3 linked regions of the Oryzias latipes genome follow. The protein of the gene in region 3 binds, or shares a complex with, the protein of the main gene of each other region. Links are inferred from orthologs where the notes say so. Each region holds a gene or a part of one and is shown on either strand. Other genes may lie near its edges.

Region 1 (3,500 bases), on a different chromosome or scaffold from region 3:
GCAGCCGATCACCTTCTCTGCTGAGCGCACAATACGCTGTAGCCTGTTAATGTCCCTGGTTGTGGCACTAGTGTACCACACGGTGATGGAGGAGGTGAGGATGGACTCAATGATGGCCGTGTAGAACTGCACCATCATCTGGGCCGGCAGCCGGGCTTTCTTCAACTGCCGCAGGAAGTACATCCTCTGCTGGGCCTTTTTGAGGAGAGAGCAGATGGATGGCTCCCACTTGAGGTCCTGCGTGATGGTGGTGCAGAGGAAACGCACAGAGTCCACTAGGTTGATAGGAGAGTCTGACAGGGTGAGAGGGGGTGAGGGGGGTGTGACTCTCCTGAAGTCCACGATCATCTCCACTGTCTTCTGGGTGTTCAGCTCCAGGTTGTTGATGCTGCACCACGACCCCAGCCAGTCCACCTCCCTCCTATAGGCAGACTCATCATCATTAGAGATGAGTCCGATGAGGGTGGTGTCATCTGCAAACTTGATCAGTTTGACAGAGTCATGGCTGGAGGTGCAGCAGTTAGTGTACAGGGAGAAGAGCAGAGGGGAAAGTACACAGCCCTGTGGAGTTCCTGTGCTGATGCATTGGGTGGTGGAGACATTCTTCCCCAGCCGCACACACTGCCTCCGGTCCATTAGGAAGTCAGTGATCCACCTGCAGGTGGAGTCAGGCACGTTGAGCTGGAGGAGCTTTTCCTGGAGCAGAGAGGGGAGGATGGTATTGAACGCAGAGCTGAAGTCCACGAACAGAATCCTAGCATAGGTTCCCGGGGAGTCCAGGTGCTGCAGGATGAAGTGTAGGGCCTGGTTGATGGCATCGTCTACAGACCTATTGGCTCTGTAGGCGAACTGCAGAGGGTCCAGGAGGGGGGAGGTGAAGGATTTGAGGTGGGGGAGGACCAGACGCTCGAATGACTTCATGACTACAGACGTGAGTGCCACAGGCCTGTAGTCATTGAGGCCAGTTATGCGGGGGTTCTTGGGGACAGGGGGACAAAAAATGTGTTTAGCGGACCAAAGGTATTGTCATACGCATGGATATAGTTTACTGTAAAAGGCTTAAGCATAGCGAGATGTCGGCCCTTTAAAAGCTGCACATACCAGTGTTGTGGTGGCAGCATTATGGCGAGGGTTCAAAGCTAATGGAAGGATTAAAACACGCAAATCAGAAAGGTGAACATCATCTCCACAGGACGCTGAAGTAAAGTTATGTCAAAGGTTTCTTTCATCTTTCCCCTCATTTTGTGAGTTCTTGAAGAAGACTATGTGACGGTGCTGTGATGTTTTCTCTGAAGCTGTTTTCTGTCTCCGTCTGTGCAGAACTCTCGCTCTGATAAAGCCAGATGTTGTGACTAAGATCGGGGATGTGATGGAATTGGTTTACTCCTCCAACCTGATCGTGACCAAAGCTAAGATGACCAGACTTTCATGGTGAGATCACGATGACCCTCCAGATGTGCTGGAGCAACCTGTCAGACATTTACTGACATGATTCTTTGGATGTAGAAAAACAACAGTGGACTGAACTTTAGGAAACTAAAATGTGAATGGATTTGACATTCATTCTGTTTACTTGTTTGTTTGTACACATATTTCATTTACACTTGATTATCTTGCAAGAAATACAAGGAATCTGGAAAACGTCACCTGAACTTTTCAGTACCAGGTATTTATCTATGAGTCACACTGGTTGAATATGTTCTGGATCCGTTTTGGGTCAGTGAATCGGTTCCAATCGGATTCTTTCAAAATGAACCTGTCATGATTTGATTTTGTTGTCTTGTTTTTGGTCCTTGTTCTGTCTTGTTTCTGTTTCCTGTTTTATTTTGAAAGTCTCCTGTCTTGTCTGGTTTCTTGAGTTTTACTTCCTTTGGTTCCCATTCAGCCCTGATCGTGTCCACCTGTGTCTTGTCTGCCCTGTCTGTATATAAGTCTTGTCCCTGCCTTCCTCCTGTGTTGGTCCAGTACCCCTGTTATGGTGTTCATGCCTTGTTCCTTGTCCCTCGCCATGCCACAGTAAGTTTTAGTTTTGTTTTGTCATCCTGCTCTGCAGCGCTTTTTGTTACTATTAAACCCCTTGCCCTTGAACCACGTGCCCCTGCCTCTGCATTCTGGGTCCTACCGGCTCTCGAGCCCCCCTGCACCTTGACAGAATGGACCAACCAAATTTTCTGGACCCAGCAGAGCAGGACTAAACTGGGAGCCGTCTCGCCATGAGGGGGGGTCGACGTCGCCGTCGTCCCCGCCGTCCCCCACAGTCACGTTCAGTGGTGGTCCGGGATGCACCACAGCCACGTTCAGTGGTGGTCCCGGATGCACCACAACCTCCCCCAGTGGTGGTCCCGGACGCACCACAGCCATGTCCAGTGGTGGTCCCGGACGCACCCCAACCCGTCCCGGCTCCCAGGGGGGTGCCGCCTGCACCCCGACCCATCCCAGCTCCCAGGGGGGTGCCGCCTGCGCCCCGACCCGTCCCGGCTCCCAGGGGGGTGCCGCCTGCGCCCCGATGGGTCCCCGGTTCCACTGCCACGCCTGACCCGCCTGAGCTCGGCTCCACGCCTGACCCGCCTGAGCTCGGCTCCACGCCTGACCCGCCTGAGCTCGGCTCCACGCCTGACCCGCCAGAGCTTGACTGCTGGCCCGACCCACCGGAGCCTGACTGCTGGCCCGACCCGCCGGAGCCTGACTGCTGGCCCGACCCGCCGGAGCCTGACTGCTGGCCCGACCCGCCGGAGCCTGACTGCTGGCCCGACCCGCCGGAGCCTGACTGCTGGCCCGACCCGCCGGAGCCTGACTGCTGGCCCGACCCGCCGGAGCCTGACTGCTGGCCCGACCCGCCGGAGCCTGACTGCTGGCCCGACCCGCCGGAGCCTGACTGCTGGCCCGACCCGCCGGAGCCTGACTCCATGCCTGACTCCATGCCTGACTCCATGCCTGACTCCACGCCTGACTCCACGCCTGACTCCACGCCTGACTCCACGCCTGACTCCACGCCTGACTCCACGCCTGACTCCACGCCTGACTCCACGCCTGACTCCACGCCTGACTCCACGCCTGACTCCACGCCTGACTCCACGCCTGACTCCACCACGCCTGACGACTCCACCACGCCTGACGACTCCCCCACGCCTGACGACTCCACCACGCCTGACGACTCCACCACGTCTGACGACTCCACCACGCCTGACGACTCCACCACGCCTGACCTGCCTCGCCGGACCGCACGGCCCCCCGGCCGTCCTCCGGACCTGCCTCGCCGGACCGCTCGGCCCCCGGCCGTCCTCCGGACCTGCCTCGCCGGACGGCGCGGACCCCCGGCCGTTCTCCGGACTCTTGTGCCCGTCGAGGTTTATCCTCCGGGGCCCCCCCCTCATGTGACTTTTGGAACCTCGGAGCGGTTCCTTGAGGGGGGGGTACTGTCATGATTTGATTTTGTTGTCTTGTTTTTGGTCCTTGTTCTGTCTTGTTTCTGTTTCCTGTTTTATTTTGAAAGTCTCCTG
Region 2 (3,500 bases), on a different chromosome or scaffold from region 3:
AACCCCTTATCAGGATTTTTTGTCTCCCCTCTGAATGCAGACCTGTACGGATCCTTGATGATGCCTCTGTAAATCCACTTCTCCAAAATTTCAAAGTACGGCACGCTGGCGGCTTTAGTGAGGTAGAGGCACAGCTCCTGCGCCTGGCTGTCACCTGTGTAGTTGAAGGTCCGGTCATGCAGAAGGCTAAGCGTTGCTCCGCCCATGCACTCTCCTTTGTCCACAGAGGAGGCTGGAAAACAGCAGATTTCAATAAACCCGTCTGTATTCCTGTTTTCTGTCCTGCTTTATCTATAATTCAGAAAATCCAGAGACCACAGAGGTTGTGAAAATTGACTCAAACAGTGGGGAGAAGTAGAAGCCGACCATTACCACATATTTTGGGATTGTCCCATTATAAAAATTTTTTGGAAGGAAATACATAAACATATTGAATATATATCAAATAAGACAATACCCTGTGATTTTATCAGTCTGTAAGACACAACTCCCACCTACCAATGAAAATTTTATTCAGAATATTAATACCCACTGGTAATAAAAAGCAGTGACTAGACACTGGCTCCTCCCCACTGTACCCAGCTTGGACAATTGGATAGACATTGTAAATGAAATCTGCCAGATAGAAAGACTAACCTATTCACTTCGGAAACAGATGCCCACAATGGATATTCTATGTTAATCACTTACAACAAATGGAAGTAATGAATGTCTGGCTTGTAATTATAATCAAGTTGAATGTTTTAGTGTGTTTTTTGTTTACTTCTTTCCCTCATAATGCATCCGCTGTTCCCTGTTTTGTGTTTTGTTAGACACCAAGTTATGTTATGGAAAAAAGAAAAGAAATGTTGAGAATGGAGATATAAGTCATGGGTCCAAAATTGGACCTAAGTGAATTTAAATGTACGGTTTTATAACTTTCTCAATTTTCCTAAATAAAATTTGGAAGAAAACTGACTCAAAGCTCCCCCTGGTGGTTCAAATGAGAAGCTGCTTCTGCAAGAAGAACCTCAAACTTAACTAAAGATACAACAGTGTTGAGGGATCGGCTGTCAGTGTAGATTACACTTACACAAAGGGCAACTATTAAGGACTTTTACAACATTTGCACACATCTGAATGAGTACAAACTTTATTTGAAAGTAAAGCACGCCCGTACTTTCACGGTCACTAAATAGGTATTTTTTTATTGCATGGTTGGCTAAAAGTATTAGAAAAAAACTGGTACACTGAGCACAAATCAAACAGGATTGTGACTTTTCAAGTCCACAAATATCCTTTGTAAATGTAAACAGCAGCTAAATCATTAAGGTTTAAGTAAAGTTCGCTACAGCTTGCAAAGTGCTCACTGAGGTAACATACCTGCAATAAATTAAAACCTATTTTAGTGCCACGATTTTCTGATTTAAAAATTTAATTTAATTTAATTTAATTTAAAAAGACTGTGGCTTAAAGGCTGAAACTTACTTAAAAAAAAGTAAATGCAAGACAATGAAATGGTAAAAAATGCAACTGCATCTTTTACTAATTATAAGAATCCTTGTAAAAAGATTAAAACTTCCACAGCATGAGAAAAAAGAAAATTCCCCTGTTAAGTAAATTAAAGAAAATTGGATTGCACTTCGATCATCTTTTGATCTATTTTCAAAGTGTTCACTATATTTATGCTGCTTTTGGCCAAAATAAAAAAAAATAGGTGTTGTTTTTCTAGTTTCTGCAGAGCGGCAGGAGTTCATCAGAAACTCTCCTCTGAGTTGGGAAGACCAGTGGTGCGCAGTAAGCTTGCATTCATTTTCCATTAGTCCTCTGTCCACACTCTCTCGTGCTACCTTACAGCCCCTCAGAACCCGAGCAATCACAGATGCAAACAAAAATGGCGAGCAATGTCAGAGCTATCCAGCCGTACAATTTAGATCCAGATTCCAGCTCTGACGAGGAAAACGAAGACGTTCATGAATCTGTTTGTCTGTAAGTGGATGCATCGGAATGGAGCAGAGCAGGGAGCTTGTGACCTGTCGACTGTAGTTTGTACGTCACAACTACAAGCTTTTTTAAACAGCATTTTTTCGTCTGCTCCTGAGTCAACACAATAGAGAAATACTCTAACGATGTTTTATCTTAATTTTCTTTATTTAATGTCTTAAAAAACGACACAGACTTTTGGATTTTGGCTAAAAACTATATAATCGTAGTAAAGGACCTCCGGGAACACTTTCATTAAAATAGATCAAAAGATGACAGAAGTGGGACTTTAAAGTCTGGACATTCCCAGTCAGCCTCTCACCAATGGACGCCAAGATCTCCATGGTCCTCATGGTGGGCTGGATGTAGAACCAAAGCTTCTGCAGGGACAGCAGGCCCTGCCGCTGCAGGTGCTCCAGTTGAGTGACCAAGATGAGGTACTCCTTCATCAGGGTCCTCATCGCTGCCGTCAGAGCGTGGTTCACCTGGCCGTACTCAAAGGAGGACTTCTCTTCGATGAACCTGCAAAAGGTTTAAAACCATTTGACAATAACGTTCACAGAAATATTAACGTCTAAATTTTCATTAAGAAGATTTTCTAGAATTAAAATCATCATTTTAAAATAAAAGAGTGACTGTCCTAAAGATAGCAAATGATTGTATGGTTTTCTGCCATTTATCATTTCAATTTTCTCTGGTCTGATTGGAATTTATTTGGGTTTTAGATCTCTTTTTACATTTTAAACTTGTTAGAATAATATTTATCCATTATTAAATTAACTTTTCAAGGTTTGTATGTCAAAAATGAGTTTATTTTTGTTATTCAATATTCCAACAGAAGTTTGTCTCAAACGTGGCCCAAAAAGCAGAGATCAAATCTAAAGGATTGTCCAGGAAAGCAGAATTTGACTGTTTTTCAGTGAGAAGAGGTGAACTGAAACCAGCGTTTACCGAGTTATAGTGGAGTAATACGATGCAACAGGAAGGATTCTGTTCACCAGCTCCTTCACGGACATGTCCAGTGTCGCATCAACGATGAAAGAGCGGTTCTGCCTCCCCAGGACGGGCTGAGCTGTGATGTCCCGCCCATCAACTCCAACCAGAACAAAGAGCAGATCCTCCACCAGGGCCTGCTCCTGGGTCGCCAGAGGCAGCGTACCTGAACGGACAATGAAAGGATTAAAAGTGAAACCGGAATCAGAGGTCTGAGCAGAACGGCACTCTTACCAACAGCTACAGTCAGGTCTCCAGCTGCAGTGGGGCTTGTGATGAAGTCTCCAATGAGGGCTGGACGGTCATACACCCAATTAGGGAACACAGGGTTTGGTTGCGTGGGGTTCTTCTTGTTGTGTTTGTCTCTCAACATCTTCCTGGTGACTTCAGCGGGCTGCAGAAACAATGATGAGCAACAGCAGCATTTACCAAAATACAGACTTATTTTAAAAAGACTGAAAGAAAATGGGAGAGTCAATCTTTTTTTCCATGTATACATATTTCAGGCATGCTGTAAGAAAATTGAAAACTCTTCACCAGTGGGG
Region 3 (4,098 bases):
CCAGAGCCTGAGACCAGAGCCTGAGCCCAGAGCCTGAGACCAGAGCCTGAGACCAGAGCCTGAGACCAGAGCCCAGAGCCTGAGACCAGAGACCAGAGCCTGAGACCAGAGACCAGAGCCTGAGCCCAGAGCCTGAGACCAGAGCCTGAGCCCAGAGCCTGAGACCAGAGCCTGAGACCAGAGCCTGAGACCAGAGCCTGAGACCAGAGCCTGAGCCCAGAGCCTGAGACCAGAGCCTGAGACCAGAGACCAGAGCCTGAGCCCAGAGCCTGAGACCAGAGCCTGAGCCCAGAGCCTGAGACCAGAGCCTGAGACCAGAGCCTGAGACCAGAGCCCAGAGCCTGAGACCAGAGACCAGAGCCTGAGACCAGAGACCAGAGCCTGAGCCCAGAGCCTGAGCCCAGAGCCTGAGACCAGAGCCTGAGACCAGAGCCTGAGACCTGAGACCAGAGTATACAAAACCAGACTCTGAGACCAGAGCCTGAGACCAGAGCCTGAGACCAGAGCCTGAGACCAGAGCCCAGAGCCTGAGACCAGAGACCAGAGCCTGAGACCAGAGACCAGAGCCTGAGCCCAGAGCCTGAGCCCAGAGCCTGAGCCCAGAGCCTGAGACCAGAGACCAGAGCCTGAGACCAGAGACCAGAGCCTGAGACCAGAGTATACAAAACCAGACTCTGAGACCAGAGCCTGAGACCAGAGCCTGAGCCCCGAGCCTGAGCCCCGAGCCTGAGCCCAGAGCCTGAGACCAGAGCCTGAGACCAGAGCCTGAGCCCAGAGCCTGAGACCAGAGACCAGAGCCTGAGACCAGAGACCAGAGCCTGAGACCAGAGCCTGAGACCAGAGCCTGAGACCAGAGCCTGAGACCAGAGACCAGAGCCTGAGACCAGAGCCTGAGACCAGAGCCTGAGACCAGAGCCTGAGCCCAGAGCCTGAGACCAGAGACCAGAGCCTGAGACCAGAGCCTGAGACCAGAGCCTGAGCCCAGAGCCTGAGCCCAGAGCCTGAGACCAGAGCCTGAGACCAGAGCCTGAGCCCAGAGCCTGAGACCAGAGCCTGAGACCAGAGCCTGAGACCAGAGCCTGAGCCCAGAGCCTGAGACCAGAGCCTGAGCCCAGAGCCCAGAGCCTGAGACCAGAGCCTGAGACCAGAGCCTGAGACCAGAGCCTGAGCCCAGAGCCTGAGACCAGAGCCCAGAGCCTGAGACCAGAGCCTGAGACCAGAGACCAGAGCCTGAGCCCAGAGCCTGAGACCAGAGCCTGAGCCCAGAGCCTGAGACCAGAGCCTGAGACCAGAGCCTGAGACCAGAGCCCAGAGCCTGAGACCAGAGACCAGAGCCTGAGACCAGAGACCAGAGCCTGAGCCCAGAGCCTGAGACCAGAGCCTGAGCCCAGAGCCTGAGACCAGAGCCTGAGACCAGAGCCTGAGACCTGAGACCAGAGTATACAAAACCAGACTCTGAGACCAGAGCCTGAGACCAGAGCCTGAGACCAGAGCCTGACACCAGAGACCAGAGCCTGAGACCAGAGCCTGAGCCCAGAGCCTGAGCCCAGAGCCTGAGCCCAGAGCCTGAGACCAGAGACCAGAGCCTGAGACCAGAGACCAGAGCCTGAGACCAGAGTATACAAAACCAGACTCTGAGACCAGAGCCTGAGACCAGAGCCTGAGCCCAGAGCCTGAGCCCAGAGCCTGAGACCAGAGCCTGAGACCAGAGCCTGAGACCAGAGCCTGAGACCAGAGCCTGAGACCAGAGACCAGAGCCTGAGACCAGAGACCAGAGCCTGAGACCAGAGACCAGAGCCTGAGACCAGAGCCTGAGACCAGAGCCTGAGACCAGAGCCTGAGACCAGAGTATACAAAACCAGAGCCTGAGACCAGAGGCTGAGCCCAGAGCCTGAGACCAGAGCCTGAGACCAGAGACCAGAGCCTGAGACCAGAGACCAGAGCCTGAGACCAGAGCCTGAGACCAGAGGCTGAGACCAGAGCCTGAGACCAGAGACCAGAGCCTGAGACCAGAGCCTGAGACCAGACTGACCTGCTGCTGAACACAGACTCACCTGCTGGTGGACATGTCCCGTGTGCTGCTCTATGAACTCTGTGAAGCGGATATAATCTGAGCCCAGTTTGCAGATCCGGTTCAGGACGCTGGCCTCGCTGGGGTGAAGAAAGGGCAGCTCCTGGGACACCTGCACATCAGCATTAATGTTTCATTCTGACAGAGACCGGCAGCTTTTCACATCCATACAGTTAACCAACTCCTGCACAACACAAGATTCTAACTTCACACAAAGCATGTAGTCATTTCATGAATCTGGATCAATGATCGGGACTGGGAATGAGCGGTATTTTAGAATGACTCTGATTAGCCGTAAATAATCTGTAGCAAAGAAACATGAAGATGTCAGCAGACGTGGTTCCCTAAGGAGATGCTTCCTTCCTCCATGATGGAGCTTCTGCTGCAGGGACCACCAGCTGCTGCACAGGAGGGAGGGGCTGCGGGCATGGGGAGGGAGTTCAGGGGTGGGGGGGTCCAGGTAGGGGGTCTGCGGTGCTCGATGCAGCATTTGACTGGTCTGCAGGTTGCGGCTAAAGGAATATAATGATCACGTTTCGAGTCGGACACGTGACTTCCGTTTACCTGCAGACCCGTCCTCTTGTTCCAGGTAAAGATGGTGCCGGGGTACCCGCTCAGCGCCAGTAAGAGCTCGTGAATCATTGTATTTACCCTACGACCCCGACACTGGGCTGGACCTCTTTCATTCGGCAAAACAAACCCGCCTTCCGGTCGAAGCCTACGTCATCAACATGAACGCATGCGCAGTACGTTATAGTTTTTGCGTGTTCTTATTTCTGGAAATAATATTAAAAGTAACGTAGGAATTAAACGTAAATCCGTAGCACATAATTGTTGGAAGTGTCATTTGAAATGATGAATAAATGTAATTAAATCAGACTAACGGGAAATTTAGTTTTTTGTTGTTGTTTTGGGAAATGTAGTTGAAGAAATGCTGTCGCGGGTCTGACGTCATCACCCGGAGGTACAGCAGCTAGCAGCGGGTTCAGAGTGGAGCAGTTCAGAGGCTCCGGGCCAAGTTTAAAGCTCGGTTTGACCCACATTTAGCCCGCTTCTAAACCGGAATTCAGAGGAGGAGGGTCGAGCTGAGCCGAGTTTAAACCAGTCAGGCGCGTTTTAGAGAAGAGTTCGTGTTTAACTCGCCAGCCGGGCGGAAAGTGTCCAAAGTCCGTGTCCATCCATGTAGGCCACCGGGAGCTCCCTCCGGTCTCACCTGGATCAGGTTTGCGAGGCTCTGAGCGGCGAGGGTTCGTGGACGTGGATGGCGGCGCAGAGGGGCGGAGACGACCCGGTCTCGGAGTACCTGCAGCAGAACCCGCATTTGGCGGGGTGGGTGGACTCTCTGAGGGGCTTCTGTGAGACCAGCAAGCAGTGGTCCGCGCGGAGGGAGTTCATCCTGCGGAACATGGAGGGGCAGGGGGTCCCCGCCGCGCAGCCCGGAGCCCACAGCCCCAGCCTGGACAGCCTGCTGTCCCTGTCCATGGTCTGGGCCAACCACGTCTTTCTGGGCTGCAGGTGCGACTCTCAAACGAACTTTGGCCAGGGCTGTCCCTGTCACCGGGGTCAGCAGTGACCCGTCGCCGGGGTCAGCGGTGACCCGCCAGGGGAAGCTGCAAGAAGTGGTCTGTTAACGTACCAACACTCTGACGAATGGAGTGGGTTCACATCGAGTAGATGAGCAGTGCTTAGATGATCTTTGGTGCTCAGAGTTTAGTTTGAGCTGCAGGAGTCAGTGTTGTCATGGAAACAGAGGTGGTACTCCATCATTTCATATTAACCCTTGTGCTATCTTAGATGACCCCCCCCCCCCCCCCAACATTGACGTGTTCTCCCTACCATGACAAAGGTGGATAAAGGTGGAAAGATTTCATGTAATCCATGGACACCAGTGAAGATCACAAATCATTGAAGAAAAAAGGTTCAGAACACTGTCTAGTGGGTCTAGATGACCCAACTCCCAACGTTAAAGTGCCTAGGAGAGCACAAAGGTTAAACACGTGGCTAAGCGTTTGAGTGCCTTAAAAGAA

What was found.
Region 1: tubgcp4 (region 3) and nme7 share a complex: the UniProt entries of both Homo sapiens proteins name them as parts of the gamma-tubulin ring complex. The link is inferred for Oryzias latipes from reciprocal best matches to the Homo sapiens genes TUBGCP4 and NME7.
Region 2: tubgcp4 (region 3) and tubgcp2 share a complex: the UniProt entries of both Homo sapiens proteins name them as parts of the gamma-tubulin ring complex. The link is inferred for Oryzias latipes from reciprocal best matches to the Homo sapiens genes TUBGCP4 and TUBGCP2.

Annotation. Positions count from the first base shown.
Region 1 is NC_019862.2:27,538,141-27,541,640, reverse strand, and holds part of nme7 (nucleoside diphosphate kinase 7), read left to right. Parts: intron 1-1,320; coding exon 1,321-1,431; intron 1,432-3,500. UniProt on the Homo sapiens protein: Possesses an intrinsic kinase activity. Displays 3'-5' exonuclease activity with a preference for single-stranded DNA. Does not seem to have nucleoside diphosphate kinase activity.
Region 2 is NC_019877.2:19,482,281-19,485,780, reverse strand, and holds part of tubgcp2 (gamma-tubulin complex component 2), read right to left. Parts: coding exon 3,493-3,500; intron 3,350-3,492; coding exon 3,190-3,349; intron 3,122-3,189; coding exon 2,914-3,121; intron 2,485-2,913; coding exon 2,285-2,484; intron 233-2,284; coding exon 43-232; intron 1-42. UniProt on the Homo sapiens protein: Component of the gamma-tubulin ring complex (gTuRC) which mediates microtubule nucleation.
Region 3 is NC_019861.2:4,196,712-4,200,809, forward strand, and holds the start of tubgcp4 (gamma-tubulin complex component 4), read right to left. Parts: upstream 2,801-4,098; 5' UTR 2,714-2,800; coding exon 2,636-2,713; intron 2,184-2,635; coding exon 2,055-2,183; intron 1-2,054. Other genes in the region: protein CDKN2AIP homolog B-like, read left to right, coding at 3,333-3,586. UniProt on the Homo sapiens protein: Component of the gamma-tubulin ring complex (gTuRC) which mediates microtubule nucleation.